4 linked regions of the Canis lupus familiaris genome follow. The protein of the gene in region 2 interacts with the protein of the main gene of each other region in a pairwise test. Links are inferred from orthologs where the notes say so. Each region holds a gene or a part of one and is shown on either strand. Other genes may lie near its edges.

Region 1 (4,416 bases), on a different chromosome or scaffold from region 2:
CTTCCCCTTTCTTATTCTGCGGCCCCTCCCATCCAGCTCTGCCTGGGCCCCTTACTTCTGGTGACTCCCCCACCCTGCCATGCTTAGCACAAAGCCCAGCACGTTGCCACCCTTAGTAAGTGTGGGAATGAGCGGTCCTGATTGTATCCTCCAGCCTCCTCCCTCTGGGGATGTCACCTTCCCCACCCCCCACCCCAGTGCCCATCACTGTCCTCGAGATCCTCTTCCCAGATGTCCAGGCCCTCCTGGCTTGCTCGATCCTCCGCCCCTCATTTCCTGTGGTCTGGCACATTGTGGGTGTAGCCGCAGGCTGTGGGCAAAACTTGGTCTTCACTCTTCAGAGTCAGCCTTTTGGCTAAGATCAAGTGTAGGAAGCACTCAGGGGAAAGGCCTGGGACTCTTTTTGTGGAGGGGGTGCTGACTCGTTACCTTCCTTTCCTCCTTTCAGTACATGGGCTGTGTGGAGGTCCTGCAGTCAATGCGTGCCTTGGACTTCAACACCCGCACCCAAGTCACCAGGTTAGTGGGGAGGGGGCAGACTGGGGATTCCTGAATTAATGAGGGGAGAGGGGGTACATAGGGGAGTGGGCTCCTGGATCAGTGAGTATAGGAGGGAGTGGGTCTTGGTCACTTGCTAGTGATGGCTTACCTTCAGGGATAAAGGATTGAGAGAAAGTTAGGGGAATCAGTCTAAGTCTGAATGAAAAGCAGCACCTCTCTGGTCTGGGACCTTCTTATTTATCCAGTCCTGTGTATGGTGGGAGAGGTGGCAGAGGCAGCTGGCAGCTGGAGCCTGAGTATAAAATGGGGTGGATGGAAGATTGCTGCTGCCTTTGGGATGGAATGGGACATTTGGTCGCTGGAAGTAGGTGGGGCCAGACTCACAGAGGCCCTAACCCAATCAGCCAGGAAGTGGCCTCTCCGTGTCATCAAATATTAAAGGCCTTTAATTCAATCCACCATGACAAAGAGCCTGGAGTGCCCCTGAAGTCTGGCCTGGTCTTCCCCTCCCCCTGCCCTGTGGCAGCCCCAGCTGAGTGGGAGGCAGGCTGTGGGTCTGAGGACCCCTTTCTCTCCAGGGAGGCCATCAGTCTGGTGTGTGAGGCTGTGCCCGGTGCCAAGGGGGCTACAAGAAGGAGAAAGGTACCTGGGGCTGATGGGGCTGGGGGCACTGCTGGGAAATGTGGAGGAGCAGGGGGAAGATAAGTCTGGGACCTGTGGGGGGAAGGCCAAAAGGCGGAGGGAGGGGGATTCGTGGTGTGGGGAGCCCCCAACTTCTGAGACTCTGGGCCCTTCCCTAGCCCTGTAGCCGCCCACTCAGTGCCATCCTGGGGAGGAGTAATCTGAAATTTGCGGGAATGCCAATCACTCTCACCGTCTCCACCAGCAGCCTCAACCTTATGGCCGCAGACTGCAAACAGGTTGGTGGGGTTGGGCAAGGGGGCCAGAAACACTGCTGGGAGAGCGGAGCGGGGACCTGGCCACAGGGCCAGGAGCTAAGACAGGAAGGAAGGAGGAGCATAGGAGGACCTGGGCTAAGAAGCCAAAAGGGTGGGACTGACACTCCAGGGCTCCGGGCCCGGGCTGGGGGTGCCCAGGAAGGCCCCAAGGCTGCCTGACCTGTGTTATTCCCTTCCTTCTCTGTACCCTGCCCTAACCCTCAGATCATCGCCAACCACCACATGCAGTCTATCTCCTTTGCGTCCGGTGGGGACCCGGTGAGTTGGGGAACAGGGTGGAGGTGGGGGAGGAGTAGGGGCCATGCTGTCTGGAAAGAGGGTGTGCTGGGGTCCAAGTGGTGTCTGGAAAGGACCAGGATGTGTAGGGGTCAGGAATGAGGTGGGCTGGAAACTGGAGCTAAGTGGCTTCTTCTGACCCTGCCCACCCCAGGACACAGCTGAGTACGTCGCCTATGTTGCCAAAGACCCGGTGAATCAGAGAGGTGAGGCGTGGTGGGGAGCGCTGGGTGGGGCCGGCTGTCCGTGAGGCAGGTGAGCAGGACCTGGGTAGCTAAGTAGGGCTTCGGCTGGGAAGATGAGGCCCCTGACCGCGCCTCCTCCCAGCAGTCCACCAGAACTCACTGACTGCCTTTACTGTGCCCCCAGCCTGTCATATCCTGGAATGTCCCGAAGGGCTTGCTCAGGATGTCATCAGCACCATCGGCCAGGCCTTCGAGTTGCGCTTCAAACAATACCTCAGGAACCCGCCCAAGCTGGTCACCCCTCATGACAGGTGAGCGGGTGCGCAGGGTATGGGCAGCTCCTAGGCACTAGCTGGAACTGAGAAAGCAGGTCTGCTCCACTGCCCACGCTTGAGCTCAGAGAGGGTCAGGGGGAAATAACCTGTGTGCCTGTTTCCCACTTCCTGCTATTCTTACGTTTCCTGTGGCCGTCAGGAAAGTCTGGCCAGGTCCTGCCTGCTTCTGCAGGCCCGCTCTTCCTCTCGTATGCCAGGCCACCGTGCTGCTGCTCTGCCCTTCTGTCCTCAGCCACCTCACTGCTGGCCTGTCTCTCTTTCTTGACCATTTCTCCGTCCTTATTTTTTCACTTTCTTGCCCATAGAGCCATCAGGAATTTGGGTGAGGGAGGGTGTCTTTTTTCCTGAGATCTCGACCTTTCTTTCCCACCTTAGATCAGTAGCTACTGAGTATTTAGAGGAGGTTAAAATATTCTGGAGTGCATCCCTTCTTTCTACTGTGTGCTTCCCCTTCCTCTTGGGAGATAGCATAATAACTGAGAACATGAACTTTAAATCAAATCTGATGTTACCATTCAGGTCTGCCACCGTTTAATTGTGAAACAATAAGCAAACGTCTCCACCTCTGCTCCTCATCTCACCTGTATCACTGGAGAAGGGGGTATAGATACCTTGCAGGGCTGCCAGGGGGATAGAATGCCTGTGTGTAGGAAACGCCCAGACTCAGGCCCACCCTGCAGGAAGTACCCAGTCCATGGCCACTGTCTGTGCCCCCTTGTTCCCTCCTGTCCCTCTCAGGATGGCTGGTTTTGACGGCTCAGCTTGGGATGAGGAGGAGGAAGAGCCACCTGACCACCAGTACTATAATGACTTCCCGGGGAAGGAGCCCCCTCTTGGGGGAGTGGTGGACATGAGGCTTCGGGAAGCAGCCCCCCTGGGGGCTGTTCGGCCCACCCCACACGTTGTCCAGACCCCCAGCCACCTGGGAGCAACGCTGGTAAGTTATTTGGATGGAGGTGGGCTGGGCCTGGGATGGGAGTGGCCAATTTGGGCTTCTGGTCTCATTTCATTTTTGTTTCTGCAGCCTGTGGGGCAGCCTGTTGGGGGAGACCCAGAAATTCGCAAACAGATGCCACCTCCACCACCCTGCCCAGGTGTGAAGGGAGCTGGGAAGGGCAGAGTCAGGGGTGTGGAGGCAGGGCTGGGGTCACGGTGATGCCTCTGTTTCCTTATCAGGTAAAGAGCTCTTTGATGATCCATCCTACGTCAATGTCCAGAACCTAGACAGGGCCCGGCAAGCAGGGGGTGGGGCTGGGCCCCCCAATCCTGCCATCAATGGCAGCGTGCCCCGAGATCTCTTTGATATGAGTGAGTGCTTCTCTCTCCACTCTGCATCTCTGTCTTCCTACTCCCTGGGTTCCTCCCCTTGTGTCCTGCTCTTTCCTTCCCGGCCTCCCCTCCCTGAAAGTTTGGGTCTGGGTGTGTGTTGTGCCAGTTGCCTCTCAGGCCTCTCTCTGAACCCCCAGAGCCCTTCGAAGATGCGCTTCGGGTGCCTCCACCTCCCCAGGCGGTGGCCATGGCTGAGCAGCTCCGAGGGGAGCCCTGGTTCCATGGGAAGCTGAGCCGGCGGGAGGCCGAGGCCCTGCTGCAGCTCAATGGGGACTTCCTGGTGCGGGAGAGCACGACCACACCCGGCCAGTACGTGCTCACTGGCTTGCAGAGTGGGCAGCCCAAGCACCTGCTGCTGGTGGACCCGGAGGGTGTGGTGAGTGTATCAGGAGTTGGGGGGGGGAGGGCGTGGCAGAAAGGAGGGTGCAGCATGCTCCATGCAGCTATGCGTCTTTCCTCCCTGCTTACTGCTTTTCCTGCTTGGCAGGTAGATGCAGGCATTCTTCCCTTCTCAGACTCCTGAACCTGAGCTCTGTTCCTTTCAGTCCTCAAATGCCCAGCCCTGAAGTGCATTTGAGCTGGGTGTTCATTTTGCCTGAGCCCCTCTTTTGATAAAGGAGGAAACCATCCTGGAGAGGTGGCAATGCCCTTCACCTGAATTGACCCCCTCCCTTCCCACTCCTCAGGTTCGAACAAAGGATCACCGCTTTGAGAGTGTCAGCCACCTCATCAGCTACCACGTGGACAATCACTTGCCTATCATCTCTGCGGGCAGTGAACTCTGTCTCCAACAGCCTGTGGAGCGGAAGCTGTGATCCATCTCAGTGCTTT
Region 2 (5,120 bases):
CCTGAAAGGCTGTCCTCTACGCTGCTCCTCAAACGTGTGTGTCAGGGATGCCTGTGGCACCTGGTTGTGCTTGGAGGTTGGGGCACTTACAAAACTCACTCTGGCTTCACTTCTCAGCCTGGCTTTGAGAGGCAGCAGGGAAGAGTGGTGCGATGGACAGAAAGGGCCCTCCATTCACTGGTGTCTGAGGGTGTGAGCCTCTCCAAGTTTCACTTACCTGTCCCCACAGCTGAGAGCCCACCTGCCTCTGCGGGAGGCTGTGTGGCTGGGGCGGCCCCTCCGTCAGGGCTAACCGGCTTCCACAGCCCCTACCTCACTCAACCAAGCTGATACCTTGTTTTGTTGGTCCTTCCCCTGATGGCCATAGGTTCTGCCAGGAGGCTGCTGACCTATAAACCCCCCTGAGTGGGGACAAAGCAACGGAACCTGCCTGAGGACTAGCAGCCTGGAGATGTTCTCAAATGGCAGTGGTACCTGGGCACGAAGATGGAGTTGTGCAGGAAATTCTCGAACACTTTGCGGTACTCGGCCTCCTCCTTCTCAGCCTGCTTCTCGGCCTCAGTTTTGGGGCAGGCACAGCAAGGCCCCTTCTCTCCACCACATACTTCGGTCTTGGGATTCTCTGTCACCTCTTCGACATCGATAGTGCCATCAGCATACTTCCTGATGGGGATTTTATCTACTCAGGAAAGACAAGCCCAGCAGGAATAGAAATCAATAGGTTGTATGTGCTGGGGAGGAAAAGGGGTCGCCACCAGCACACTCAGTGGAGAATGTAGCCGAGTTCTGACAAGGGGCCGCATGTTACATTGGGGCCTGGATCCATTCGGATGCTGGGGTTTGGTCCCAAGCCCCCTCGCTTCTATCCCTCCCACTCACCTTTGGAGCAGTAGTTGTGGCGGTAAAGGTAACTGTCCTGGGGCTGCCGCTGCCACCTCACGATGTAGTAACTGAGGTTACCGTTGGGCAGAGAGGGTGGGTTCCACTTCACAATGAGCTGAGAAGAGGAGTTTGATGCAGAAAGAACATCCAGGGGAATGGAAGGAACTGGAGAGAGCAACAGAGGACATTTCAGAACATGGAATGAACCCAAAACCCAGGCTGGCAGGTAGTCATAGCAAACCAACAAGAAGCCACAGGCATGACCTGGGTGAGGACACAGTGAACATAGATCCATGAGATGACAAGTAAATCTTTCTTTGAAATCGTATTAATTTAGGGGCACTTAGGTGGTTCAGTGGTTGAGCATCTGCCTTTGGCTCAGGTCATGATCCCCTCATTCATTCACAGAATGAATGAGGCAGGACTAGGAAAAGCAGTCCACAAACCCAAGCATACACAGAGCCTTGGCTGCAAGCAATAGACTCTGTTAGCAGCCAAAGAATACTGATTTACAGATAAAGCATAATAATCTGGTCAAGTTTTATGTACTACTGCCTCCCAAACCCAAACCCAGAGCTGCCTTATGTATAAAGGGCAATCACATCTCAGGACCAGCGAAATCGTATTTTCCTTGGGTTCACAAGAAAACACTGATTTTCATGGGTTTTCCAAAGTAAAGAGTAAAGAGACCTCTTTACTGTAGATCACTTACACAACATGGCCATCCAAGCCACTTTTAAAATTTCAAAGGGCAAAGAGCTTGAGGGTACTTTAAGGCCCATAATATCATACACAAGATTCTGAACACCTGTTTGGAGTGATGCTTTAGGAAGAAGTTGTGACTAATGCCAGATTTTTCAGGAAAAACAACCACGGGATGCTCGGCCACTTTCAGATTTCCAAAGTCAATATCTCAAGAATAAATAGCGTACCCCTCGATGTTTCAAGTCTAAGTATCACAAAAAAGCTGAAGCAGAGGACTTACTGGGCCTTCCTCTCTTTCTGCCACTTGAAAGGACAGGGGCCAAAATGTAGGGAACTGGCCCAATTTGTATGGTGCTTAGTTTTCCATCTTTGGGGAAGGGAAATGGGTTTAAGAATTCATCATATAATAAGGGGCACTTGAGTGGCTTAGTCAGTTGGGCAGCTGACTCTGGATTTTAGCTCAGGTCATGGTCTCAGGATCCTGAGATCGAGCCCCACATTGGGCTCTGTTTGGTGGGGAGTCTGCTTGAGGACTCTCTCTCTCCCTCTCTGTCCCTCTCCCTCAGCTCACTCTCTCTCTAAAGTAAATGAATTAATCTTTATTTTATTATTTTTAAAGACTTTATTTATTTATTCCTGAGAGACACAAAGAGAGAGGCAGAGACACAGGCAGAGGAAGAAGCAGGCTTCCAGCATGGAGCCTGATATGGGACTTAATCCCAGGACCTTGGGATCACAACCTGAGCCAAAGGCAGACACTCAACCACTGAGCCACCCAGGTGCCCCTGAATGGATCTTAAAAAAAAAGAAAAAAAAAAAAAAAGAAAGAAAAGAATTTGTCATAAAAAGGAAAGATTCGTATTTTTCCTGAGCTGGCAACAATAATTTACTTCCAAACCTTAGGAAGCATAACTTGTTTTGTTGCCTTTGAGCCTCTGCTATACTACCCACATCCAGGATCAGAAGCCTGTGCCAGATTTACTTCTATAAACACTTTAGGATCTGTGACATGATTGTGACCACTTATGGGATCCCTGAGATGGAGGAAGGGAGGAAGAAGCAGGCATGCAGGAGCCAAAGGTTTTCCCCATAAACACTTTTTCTTTACCCTCTCCACCATTTAAACTTGTTTTGTGCTACCTTAAGGGTATTCTTTAAAAACCCCTATCATCCAAGGATATTTATCATTGTCTTTAGAAATGATGTGGATTTTCCTACCTCTAAGCTGGTTTTCATATACTTAGCTAATACACAGAAACGTTTGCTTTCATTAGTTCCAGACTCTGGGGTTGAGAAAAATGAGGTGGTTTAGAAAATGAAGACAGAGACAGAAAGAGGAACACTTTTACCAGTGAATATCTGGAATGTCCACAACATACATACTCTGTCTGACATTTCCAAATTCTGTCTACCTTCGTGGGACCCGGTCCCTACAGAATGAAGATGGAAAACCAAGTAGCCACATGAGGTAAATGGGACACGAACTTAGCATGTTTTCAGTTCCTGGAGGTTCAGCTATGAAAATAAAACAGGGGGCTGTATCCTGGAGGGGTCCTCCGAAAAAAACCACCCCAGCCTCCTGGAGGACCTGGGCTCACTGGTGCAGGGCAGACAGATGATAGGAGATGGGTCAGAAAATGGCCCAGGAGAGCCCAGGGTATTGGGACTGAGAAAAATAGTATGACAGAGCATTAGTTATTGGTAAGAAAGATACATAAAAAGCAGACTGGTCCAGGTTCAAGAGAAACAACAGGCACATGTGTTGCTGGCCCTCTGCCTACACTTGTCATAAGCAAGCATGGTGAGCTTGAATATGGGATGGGCGGTGTGCAGATACCTGAAGCATTGGTGCGAATGTACAAGATTTCACTCTTAGCCCCACGGATGTGGTCATTCTCCACCATGGTGAGGGTCACCGCCTTGACATAAACCGCATACTGCGTCCAGGGCTTCAGTCCGTGCAGTAAAATGCCAGGCTCAACGTCCTTGTTGGGAGGGAGGTCCACATCTACCATATTCCAGCTGTTGGAGCCACAGGCATCCTGCCCATCATACTCCGTAACGTTTTTAAAAGGTCTGCAAGACAGTGGGTGAAACTCAGAGAAAGTTTTAGGTCTCTGACATCAAAACCCTCAGAAACCTTTCCCAAGGGCCAAGCACATCACACTTTCTATTTTTAAAAAAATATTTTATTTATGTACTCATGAGACACAGAGAGAAAGAGGCAGAGACATAAGCAGAGGGAGAAGCAGGCTCTCTGCAGGAGCCCAATGTGGGACTTGATCCCAGACCCCAGGATCATGCCCAAGTCAAAGGCAAACACTCAATTGCTGAGCCACCCAGGCGTCCCGTCACACTTTCTATAATGGGAATTAGAAATACATGGTCAATTAGATTTGTACAGAAGGATAAAATTAAGCAACGGGACCCCAGGTTTCACCACATTTACAAACACACTGTAGAACTGCATACTCTGCCTCAAGAAAAATAAATTCTAATTGTTGCTGGGATTGAAAACTCAGCTCCTTAAGCATACAAGCAAATGCTATTTTTCTCTTTTCCAATTGTGGCATTTTTCACCATTAAGAACAAAATAAGCATAATAATTTAATGCAAACATTAGCTACTGAGGAAGAATAAAACTTTTGGGGAGAAAGGACTTTTACTACAGAAGAACAGCTTCCAACATAGAGCTTTCAAAATCTCAATGGCTCGCAAACAATTGTGATTGCTTAAGTATTTTATGATATTCAAGTATTTAGCTTCCAGATTGTCTCTGAAACTAACACTGACTCCTTGGTGAGATTACCAGGTGAAAATGCCAAAGCACTGGTGGAAGCATCAAAGAGAGAATATTTTGCACACATTCTTGGGCAGGTAGGGGTTCTCCATCAATCAGATGAAAGGGTCAGACAGACCCTAGCCGCTGGCTTCTGAAACAGATATTAACATGGCCCTCCCTGTCATCATAACAGAAGACCATGAATGACTCCCACACAGAAACACACTGAGCACCCAATAATCCTGAGATCTGCTTTTTTTTACTCCTATGACCCTTCCCAGGGTCCTGGCTATGGCAGGGGCAAGGGGACCAGATACTGCCATTGGTGGCTCTGGTTCTAGCTCTGGGGAAGCCAACCACTTTGGAAAGAGACCTACAGAATCACAATTGGAGCTGGTTAAGGAGGGTGGTTAATGAGACTGGGGGAACCACATGGATAAGGAGGCAAAGAAAGGAAGAGAGAGACCTGCTGAGGCAGGTGGATATCACCTGTAGGCACAAGAAAAGCCCCCAGATTTTGGGAGAAATCATGAAAGGTTAAAAACATGAAGGTCAGTCTCCCTCCATTCTTCCTTCCCTGGTTCAGAGGGCTCATAACCTAGAGCAGAGGAGCAGGTTTTGGGAAGAGCTTATGGACAGGAATAAAATGACAGATTGTCTGGGGGTCACCCCTAGGGAAGCTAGAGTTCTTGGGGTTAGTGGACACATTCTGTATTCCACTTTATGGATGTCTGGACTAACCTAATTCTCT
Region 3 (5,144 bases), on a different chromosome or scaffold from region 2:
AGATGGGAGTGAGCTCATCTCTCTCCAGCTGGGGCACCCTCCTGCTCACTCACTGCTGCCCTGGAGGTGCCGTCCACCCTCTGATGGGGCCCCTCCCCTTGGGCCCTGGTACCTCCCTACGTCCTTGCAGCCAGGCTCATGCCAGCCCCTCTGGCCTCCAGGAGATGCTGGCCATTATGAAGTCCATCTATGACATGATGGGCCGCCACACCTACCCTATCCTGCGGGAGGACGCACCTCTGGAGCACGTGGAGAGGTTCTTCCAGGTGAGAGCTCTAGCCCCGGACTTGAGGGGAAGGGCAGATAGAGGAGGGAGGGGGTCCTCCTCTTAGGACAACCCTGCAAGCCACTCCCCTCTGTGAGCCCCCATCCTGCCATGAGGAGGTTAAACTTGCATCCCCTACCTTGGTCAGGATCCCAGTGAGCAAATGAAAACATCATCCCCACTCCCCAATCCACTGAACCTCATCTCAGGGCAGACCAGGGCTTATGGATTCAATGGGGCTGACACACCAGGCCAGTGTTCTGGTGCCTTCCAAGAGCCCTCCCAGCTCCTCCAGAAAAACAATGCAAGAGGATTGGGGTTGGGAGTAACCTTGCTCTGTGTCCAGGGGGATGAAAGGGACTAAAGTTTCCACCTCCCATGTACTGGTGGCCCCATCTGCCCTGGCTGCCTGTCAGGGAGATGAGGGGGTCAGAGGAGCATGGGGATGCATTCTGGTAAGTGTAAGCCCAAGGAAGCTGCTGGGAAATGGCTGGGTGTGGGGATCAGGCTGGGGAGATGGCAGAGAGGTCAGCTGTGCCACAACAGGTAGCTGAGGAGGGCACTTTATATGGCCTGGATCCAGAGTACAAGCCAGAGGGGACAAGTTGGGATGGAGCAGACCCAGAGACTCACTGAGGGCTTGGCTTGGGTTACAGAAAATGGACCGGAATCAAGATGGGGTGGTGACCATTGATGAATTCCTGGAGACCTGTCAGAAGGTAGGTGGCATTAGGGGTTGAGGATACCCAGGGTCCCCTGCCAGTCCCCAAACCCCTCCTAACCTCCAAACTCCATGTTTGCACTTTCCTCTGAGCCCATCCCATTGCCACCAGCTCCTGCCAGCCCTCAGTCCAAGGGCATGCCATTCCTCAGACTGCCCCATAATGCCTCACATCAGAGGGGACAGACATGGGCCAATGGGAGGATGATGGGCCCTGTGGCCCTCAGTACAGGGTCACACTGTGATCAAGGTGCCTGGAGGATCCCCCAGCATTGCCATGGATCTTCCTGTTCAGAGCACCCTTGGGGCGTGTGACCTTGTGCCTCCACTGGCCTTAGCCACCAGCATCACTCCCAGATTGGCCTCTCAGGTATCTCTGGCCTCCATCTGAGTGCAGCCAGGGAAATGTGTCCATCAGCAAGTCAGCAGCCCCTAGATGGGCTTGCAGTCAGACTCTGGGGCTGAAGACAGGCTGGGCCTGACCAGCTGCCCCTTCACTCAGTGAGACAGAGTGATCACTGTAGGGTTCCGAGTCCCCGGCAAGAATCTGCTCAAGGTAGGAGCAATTTGGGCACTGCTCTGCCCTGTCCACCCAGGGTCTGACCAGGCCTCTCATCCCCCTTCTCTCTCCACACAGGATGAGAACATCATGAGCTCCATGCAGCTGTTTGAGAACGTCATCTAGGACATGTCGGTGGGGAGGGGTCCTTGGGTGGCCACTGCCACCTCTGCCCCCAAAGAAATCTCAGTCCTGCCAGGAGCAGCCTCCATGAGAAACTTTTTTTCTAATATATTTGCAAAACGTGAACAGTTTCCTCTAGACACACACACACACATACACACACAGCCCATTCCTTTGGGCTGGTAGAGGGGGTGCAGAGGTCAGGGAGGGACTGAGTCTGGCTGGGAGTTGGATCCAGGTGATGGGAGCCAGACTACCCCAGCCAGCCCCTGTCCAGGCCAGGGGGGTGGGGCTGCCTCTGGAGGGGGCACTGAAACAGCAGTGTTTGCAGGCTGCTGGCCATGGGGTGCTGTCAGGAAGGAGCTCAAGATCCCCTACAGCAGAGGGTCCGGTCTCCAAAATAAAGGCCCCTCTGGTGTGTGTCCCCTTGCCCCTCCCTCCTACTACCCTTCCTTCTCACCACACATGGGCCAAGTTCTGGGAACTACTCTGGCCTTCTTGTCCTTTAACCACTCCCTGCCCACTGATTGCACTCCCAGGACTTCACCACAGGACAAGGGGGGACAGGCAGCGGGATCAAGAGAATTGGGACTAGGAGAGAGAGGTAGTAATGGAGACAGCCTGCTGTTTCCTGGAAATGCTTCCTTGGATTCCCAGGAATTGCCTGCCACTCCACTGGCAAGCCCCAGTGGTAAGGGGCCACTGGACACTTCTCTCCATCCTGGGAAGGGGGCCTTTCAAGCTCAGGGATTGGGTTTCTTGGTGGAGAATCAGGGGGACTGTCTGCCAAGTCCACTGAAATGGAAGAAGCCTTCCCTTGCCCTAGGCCTAGCTCAGTGGGAATGAAGTGGGTGGGGCCACCGTACCCCTCTGGCACTAGAGTGTTCGACCCCAAGGTCATTATAGGTTCTAAGAAGAGGTCACAAGGCTCAGGGACTGGCAGCCAGGGAGCCCAGGTGGCAGAGCAGGCCTCCTTTCTGAGCAGCTCATCTTCCGCGGCCCCCCACTACCACTTCCTGGTTAGGGTCCTCTAGCAGTGTGGTCACCCTCTCTACACAGCTCATCCAACCCCATACACAAAGCACAAGCACCCAGAGCAGCTCAGGTGGCAGCCCACAATGCAAGCCAAGGACACTTGTTCCAAGATCAGGCCCTCCTAGCGGGCTGAGGCCTGGGTTGCGATGGCCCCGATGCAGGTAGCTCTGGGCAGGAAGCATGGGGTCAGTTCTGTACCTCAGAGCAGTGCGGGCTCGAAGCCCGTCCCCAGCCCAGCCCGGCCCAGCTCACCAACATTCAAAAGCACAAACCGTAGGGACTCTCCCTGTCTGGGTTCTGCTCTGGGGATGGAGGCTGATGTCAGCCTGAAGGCAGAGCCAAGAGTGAGAACTGAGGGGCCTGAGGCAGAGTGGTAGGTCGACAGAAACCTCCAGGAAAGAGAGAGAGGCTGCTCTCATTGGCTCAGGCCTCCCCAAGAAGGAACCCAGTACCCCCCTGGTAGCGTGGGCCTTTCTGAGGAACATTCCCGTACAATACATTCCACCGGCTGCCACCCCCTCTCTGCTCAGGCCTGGCCCAAGGGTGAGCAGGGCCCTCAAAGGAAAGGTGGAATGGTGGAGGCCATGGCAATTGGCCTGGTTTGTCCACGGGGACCCCTTGGCATCCACACCACACAGGTGGCCCTCTCCCTCAGAGTTGTACTGACACCCCATCTCCAGTTTGACTGGGGTGGAGGAGTCTTTCTTCCCTCCTCCAGGAGGGCATCAGCTTTCCCTGGCTCAGGGATCTTCTCCCCCTCCGCCCACCCCTAGGCCCTCCCAGCTGGTGTAGCTGTGCTTCTAAGGGGCCGAGGCCATAGGAGAGTGTCACCACCATGCCCCTGCCCCCTCTTGGCCTTGGGCCAGACTGGCTGCACGTACAAGCAGGAGGGGTCTGTCTCCCACACTGGGATGCGGACTGGCCGCATGTCTGCATGGCAGAAGCGTCTCCCTTGGGTGCAGCCTGGGAAGGTGGTTCCTGTTCTCAGCGCCCACCAATATTCAGTCCTGTATATTTTAATAAAATAAACTTGACAAAGAAGAGGGACTCTTGTTGGCTTTATCCCAACTCTGGATTTCAGTCCAGCCCCTCCTATCCCTGCTGCTATTAGCCATGGCTCCTGCCCAGGGTGATGCTCGTAAATGTTTAACATTCCCTGAATTGTAGCATTGCCAATTTCCATGCTCATTTTATTTCAAGCTCCCACTGTGATGTCACTGAAGGTGGAGCCAGGAAGAGATGCCCACAGTTGGGAAGCCTTTACCAGAAGCTCCAGCCCTGCAACCTCTGCAAAGCCAGTGGAGCAGGCTGACTTTTTGAGGTGCCATTTGTATTTCATTCCCAGACCATTTTTTTTTTTCCAGTTCCAAGAAGTCCTTTCTGCTGTGTCCCCTTGGCTGGAGGGTGCAGGTTACAGGGCAGAAGCAGAATCTGCCTGAAGACATCTTTTTTTTCCTGGCTTTATTTTCAAAAGTGTAAACTCAGTGAGAGTTTATGCTAGGGGAGGAGTAAGAAATGAGAACCTGGCAGGGAGGAGAGGAAGGGGTTTTCCCAACTCAAGGATGGGGAGGAGGGAAGTTCCGGGGGGATCTGCAGTGCTTTAAGGACCAGACCCCATGCCATGTGACATCACCTCCACAGTGAACACAGACCCAAGCCTCCATGAGTCACCAGGTTTGGCTGATAGGGCATCTCAGCAGTAGTTGGGAGGACAGATGACAGGAATCCACTTCCACCACCACACACACCAAAGTCTGCCACTCCACTTGTGCCCCAGGGGCTTGGCACAATCCAGGTAAGGAAGCCCTGAACTTACTGTCCAGGATGGGATATCCTGCATTTGCCACGGGCTAACCACCATGCTGAGCATGTTCACTTTGTCACAGCCTAAAGGGCACAGATGGGAAAGCTGAGTTAAAAGATATTAGGACCGCTCAGTCATTGAAGAATGGAACCAAGCAGGTAGCTCTAGGCTGGGTTTAAGCACTGAATTGCCTACTTCATGATGGTCTACAGAGCTGAGAGTGGGGAAAGCCCATCTATCCATCATCCATCCGTGATCCATTCTCCATCATCCATCTATTTGTATATCTGTTTTTCCACTCATTTACTCAGCACCTTCCTGACCTGGACACAGTACATAGGTGGTGACCAGGCTATGCCTTCTGTGTAGCTGGGTGGCAGTGAGGAATCCAAAGGAGCCCTGGGATCAGGGATAGAAGATAGTCCTGACCTGGGCCATAACATTTATGTAGCCTTGGACAAGTCTCATCCTCTCTCTCTCTCTCTCTCTCTCTTTCTCTTTCTCTCTGGGTATTGGTGTAGAAGAGAGGAGGGAACACTTTCCAACTCATTTTAAGGAGTGGTATTACCTGGATTTTTTTCTTAAAAAATCAGTCATGGATAGGATAAGAAAGAAAAATCACAGGACATTCTCAACT
Region 4 (3,867 bases), on a different chromosome or scaffold from region 2:
CCTGGCCCATGCCAGATTAAACAATGGAGAGAAGACAAGGACAAAATTCAAAAAGAAAAAAAACGTAAGGAAGCAGGACAGATGTTTAAAGACTGAAAAGAAAAACCAGAGTCAACAGTCAAAAAAAGGACAGGGGGAAGAATGTTTCGATTTCAAAATTTAAAAGCCCCAAGCTAGAAAGCACTCAAAGGCTGAGTACTTCTCAGGTGGAAGGCAATCTCTGCAGAACATTACTCTTAAAGGTATGACCCAGGAAACAGATATGCGGCTTTTTTCCTTTTCTTCTCTAGGTCCCAGTTACAAGGGAAACAGATTCCACTGCTAGAGCGCAAGGTGCAAATCAGTAAGATGGCTACGGGAAAGGGGTGCTAGTCACGTGTTTTAGGAGCACTGGACCTTTTTCATGGTGTCAAACCCAATTATCTGCCACAAAGAGTTCAGGCTACTTCAGGCTTCAAGTTTACTCGGAGGAAGACACTGGACATCTGCAGTCATGAACTTTTGAGTGGCAACAGCCCAAACTGGCCAAGTGTCTGTAATCCCTCCCAAACAGGCAGAATGACTGTGAGTTACTGTCACACTTGAATGTCACAGGACAGGTGTCTCACTCTGCGTCCCAGCTTCACAATATAATCTCTATAGCTTTCTGTACAACTTTACAATGGAACTGTTATTTCAGTGACTAGTTTGATATCAGATTAAACTTTCCAAAAAGTTACACATAATTCAGATCTATTTTTTTCTACCAGTAAGAGTTCTGCGAAGTTACAAAACCCCATAATCACAGTGTTCAGTTTAAAAAAAAATTCAACACACAGTAATCCTGTCAATGTTAATCAAAACCAAAACTTCAGAATGCCGTGGCATTTATGTGACCAATCTGAGTTTTAGATACAAACACCAGCTGTTTATCCCGTGGACCATTTTGCTAGGCTGAGGCTGTGAAAAATTGAAAGTCGACGTACGACTCTTTTTTTTTTTTTTTTTTTTTTTATCATCGCACAAAGGGATATATGTGGAGGGTACAGAGTGACACTGAACAGATCACGAAGTACAACAGACATTAGTTCTCTCCCTCCCCAGCATCTCCTTCATCTCCCTGGTTTTCCGACGTCCACAGCTGCAAGAGAAAAACAGAGCTATAATCAAAAATAGGGCTACTAACATTCACTCAGGGAGGTAGACCCAATCTGGGCCACCTTGTCTTGCGCTTAACTGCATTAAAATTCTTCCTGTATTACTGCAGCCAGTGAGGACTGCAAAGGGCAAAACTTTAGCAGTCATTTATAACCAATTTAACAACTTAATACTTTTAACTCTACTTACAGGGTACATATTCCCTCAAGTCTTGGGGAACAGTGAATTCTTAGATCAGTGAGTAGGTACAAGACTATATAAGCCCTCCAGAAGCAGTCGTGTAAACCAGCAGTACTTACAGTGAGATTGTCCCTAAGCAACTGCATGATCAGGGTGCTGTCTTTGTAAGACTCTTCATTCAGTGTATCCAATTCAGCAATTGCTTCATCAAAAGCCTAAAACAAAGAGCCTTTAATAGAGCTGTCACAGGTTCTCTGGAGCTAGTTTAGCCTAGTTTTTTTTCTGTTAACGAATATAATTTCTTTTCCTGTATGGGAGCTGAACTATTATGACCTTGTCTGCTGGCTGTATAAGCAAACAGGTAATGTATGTTTATAAAGCACTGACCAACACTGACACAAATTACCAGGTAAGAACTGGATTGTATGCGATGAAGACGGCAGGCATTACTGTCAACCCAGCACAAATTCACATCATTTTCTAATGGCCAAAGATACTATTGGTAATCCTTTGTTTCTTTACTAAACCTCAAAAGGTCTGGATATAAGGAATAAAGGGAGAACAGAAGTTCATACCACTAAATCTGATTCAATTAAGTGATGGACCTTAGAAAATTCATTTCATCTACTTTCTCCAAATTAAAAAAATTGTTAAATAACAGTATGCATGCTGAAAGACTAAAACCTGGTCTGACTTCTTTCATTTGCGTAGCTGAAACATCAAATCTTGCCACAAGGAATACAATACATAATGGAGGCTTACAGAGCCCAAAGTTTGACAAGAAACAATACGCTACCTTCCCCCTGAATTTTCTACAACCACCAGTAATTACACAATGAAAACAAACAAAAATCAGCAGGGTGTATTGAGAAGAAATAAAAAAGTGACAGGTCCATATTACTTTCACAAAAGATCTATTCCTATCTCCAGAACATCTTGTACCCTTTTTCTAAAAAGCTGTACCTTTTTAGATTATATTTTAAACTTACACTAAAATTTTATGAGAAGTCTAAGACAGGGAGTTGTTAAATTCAGGTAATAATAAGAAGTTACTAAAAAATGAGCAGTGTTTTACTATGACCAGAAGGTCTTTCTCACCGTTTTTGCCAGGCTGCAAGCCTTTTCAGGAGAATTTAGAATCTCATAGTAGAAGACGGAGAAATTCAGTGCCAGGCCAAGTCGAATTGGATGTGTAGGCTGCATTTCTTTCTTACTAATTTCAAATGCTTCCTGGTAAGCCTGCTGGGAGTTCGACACAGTGGCTATAAGAAAGACAAGAACATTAAAAGGGAGTTTTTACCTAGATGCATCACATGCTGGACCACAATCCAGTTATTTTACCATACCAGGCAGGAATGAGGAGTGATACTAATGAAGGATCAGTGTCTCCATCATCTGATTAATAATCATTTGTTAAATGTTTATTCTAAGCCAACTACTACATTAAATGCTTTGGGGGAAAGCAACAAGTATGACAAAGTATACTAAAGCAGTTTTTAAGAAATACAGAAATATGGGCAGCCCAGGTAGCTCAGCAGTTTAGTGCCGCCTTCAGCCCAGGGCCTGATCCTGGAGACCCGGGATCCCTGCATGGAGCCTGCTTCTCCCTCTGCCTGCGTCTCTGCCACTCTCTCTCTCTCTGTATCTCTCATTAATAAATAAACAAAATCTTATTAAAAAAAAAAAAAGAAATAAACTTTAACAAGATAGAACATGGGAAACAATATGCTCCAGTAGAAGAATCATGACTTGAGAGAGTCAACAGACCCAAACTTGAATTCCTAACTCATTCACTCAATGTGGGGCTCGGGCTTGAATAAGTAAAAACCCTGTGAGCCTTGGTTTCCTCATCAGAAAAACTGGCAGATCCTCACTGGAACTCCTAGAGTTGTGTAAGGAACAAATGAGACTCTAAAATACTTGGCACACAGTAGGCACTAAATAAAGCAGACCTATAGTTATTACCATCACAAAATGCACGTGATAAAAGAAATGCATTGCTATTTACTATGGTGGTTTTATAGTATCAGACATTTTAGTTTTATTTCTGAAAAGAGAGATACCAAATAATTCTCAAGATCTTTTTTTTTTTTTTTTAAGAAAAAGATCTCTTTATTTTTTTTAAAGAATCTTTTTTTTAAATTTATTTATGATAGTCACACAGAGAGAGAGAGAGAGGCAGAGACACAAGCAGAGGGAGAAGCAGGCTCCATTCACCGGGAGCCCGACGTGGGACTCGATCCCGGGTCTCCAGGATCGCGCCCCGGGCCAAAGGCAGGCGCCAAACCACTGCGCCACCCAGGGATCCCCGAAAAAGATCTCTTTAAATGCACTACTATACCACACTTTTAATGCCCTCTGCACTTTCCCCTTAGATACATTGTTGTCAACTCCCATGACCCTATTAATCACAGGTCAGCATAATGCTATGGTCTTTTAAATTCTCAGTACTATGATGTTCATGAGTATGCTGACCAAAGCAAAAACTGTTTAAAATGATTATGAAGGAGGACTGGCTCCACTATTGGTCAAATTTCTTAAAAAAGAAAA

The links.
Region 1: the proteins of IGF1R (region 2) and SHC1 interact in a two-hybrid assay, tested with the Homo sapiens proteins (4 studies listed by BioGRID and IntAct). The link is inferred for Canis lupus familiaris from reciprocal best matches to the Homo sapiens genes IGF1R and SHC1.
Region 3: the proteins of IGF1R (region 2) and KCNIP3 interact in binary tests that used the Homo sapiens proteins (3 or more experiments, as listed by UniProt). The two-hybrid records come from large-scale screens. The link is inferred for Canis lupus familiaris from reciprocal best matches to the Homo sapiens genes IGF1R and KCNIP3.
Region 4: the proteins of IGF1R (region 2) and YWHAB interact in a two-hybrid assay, tested with the Homo sapiens proteins (2 studies listed by IntAct). The link is inferred for Canis lupus familiaris from reciprocal best matches to the Homo sapiens genes IGF1R and YWHAB.

The regions. Positions count from the first base shown.
Region 1 is NC_049228.1:42,490,833-42,495,248, forward strand, and holds part of SHC1 (SHC-transforming protein 1), read left to right. Parts: intron 1-448; coding exon 449-519; intron 520-1,079; coding exon 1,080-1,143; intron 1,144-1,301; coding exon 1,302-1,421; intron 1,422-1,664; coding exon 1,665-1,718; intron 1,719-1,890; coding exon 1,891-1,942; intron 1,943-2,105; coding exon 2,106-2,232; intron 2,233-2,994; coding exon 2,995-3,193; intron 3,194-3,280; coding exon 3,281-3,350; intron 3,351-3,432; coding exon 3,433-3,564; intron 3,565-3,722; coding exon 3,723-3,961; intron 3,962-4,271; coding exon 4,272-4,400; 3' UTR 4,401-4,416. UniProt on the Homo sapiens protein: Signaling adapter that couples activated growth factor receptors to signaling pathways. Participates in a signaling cascade initiated by activated KIT and KITLG/SCF.
Region 2 is NC_049224.1:42,429,919-42,435,038, reverse strand, and holds part of IGF1R (insulin-like growth factor 1 receptor), read right to left. Parts: intron 3,664-5,120; coding exon 3,425-3,663; intron 1,048-3,424; coding exon 880-1,047; intron 680-879; coding exon 475-679; intron 1-474. UniProt on the Homo sapiens protein: Receptor tyrosine kinase which mediates actions of insulin-like growth factor 1 (IGF1). Binds IGF1 with high affinity and IGF2 and insulin (INS) with a lower affinity. The activated IGF1R is involved in cell growth and survival control.
Region 3 is NC_049238.1:34,901,844-34,906,987, reverse strand, and holds the end of KCNIP3 (calsenilin), read left to right. Parts: intron 1-161; coding exon 162-266; intron 267-921; coding exon 922-984; intron 985-1,623; coding exon 1,624-1,671; 3' UTR 1,672-3,746; downstream 3,747-5,144. UniProt on the Homo sapiens protein: Calcium-dependent transcriptional repressor that binds to the DRE element of genes including PDYN and FOS. Affinity for DNA is reduced upon binding to calcium and enhanced by binding to magnesium. Seems to be involved in nociception.
Region 4 is NC_049245.1:32,950,153-32,954,019, reverse strand, and holds part of YWHAB (14-3-3 protein beta/alpha), read right to left. Parts: intron 2,580-3,867; coding exon 2,416-2,579; intron 1,533-2,415; coding exon 1,437-1,532; intron 1,121-1,436; coding exon 1,064-1,120; 3' UTR 1-1,063. UniProt on the Homo sapiens protein: Adapter protein implicated in the regulation of a large spectrum of both general and specialized signaling pathways. Binds to a large number of partners, usually by recognition of a phosphoserine or phosphothreonine motif.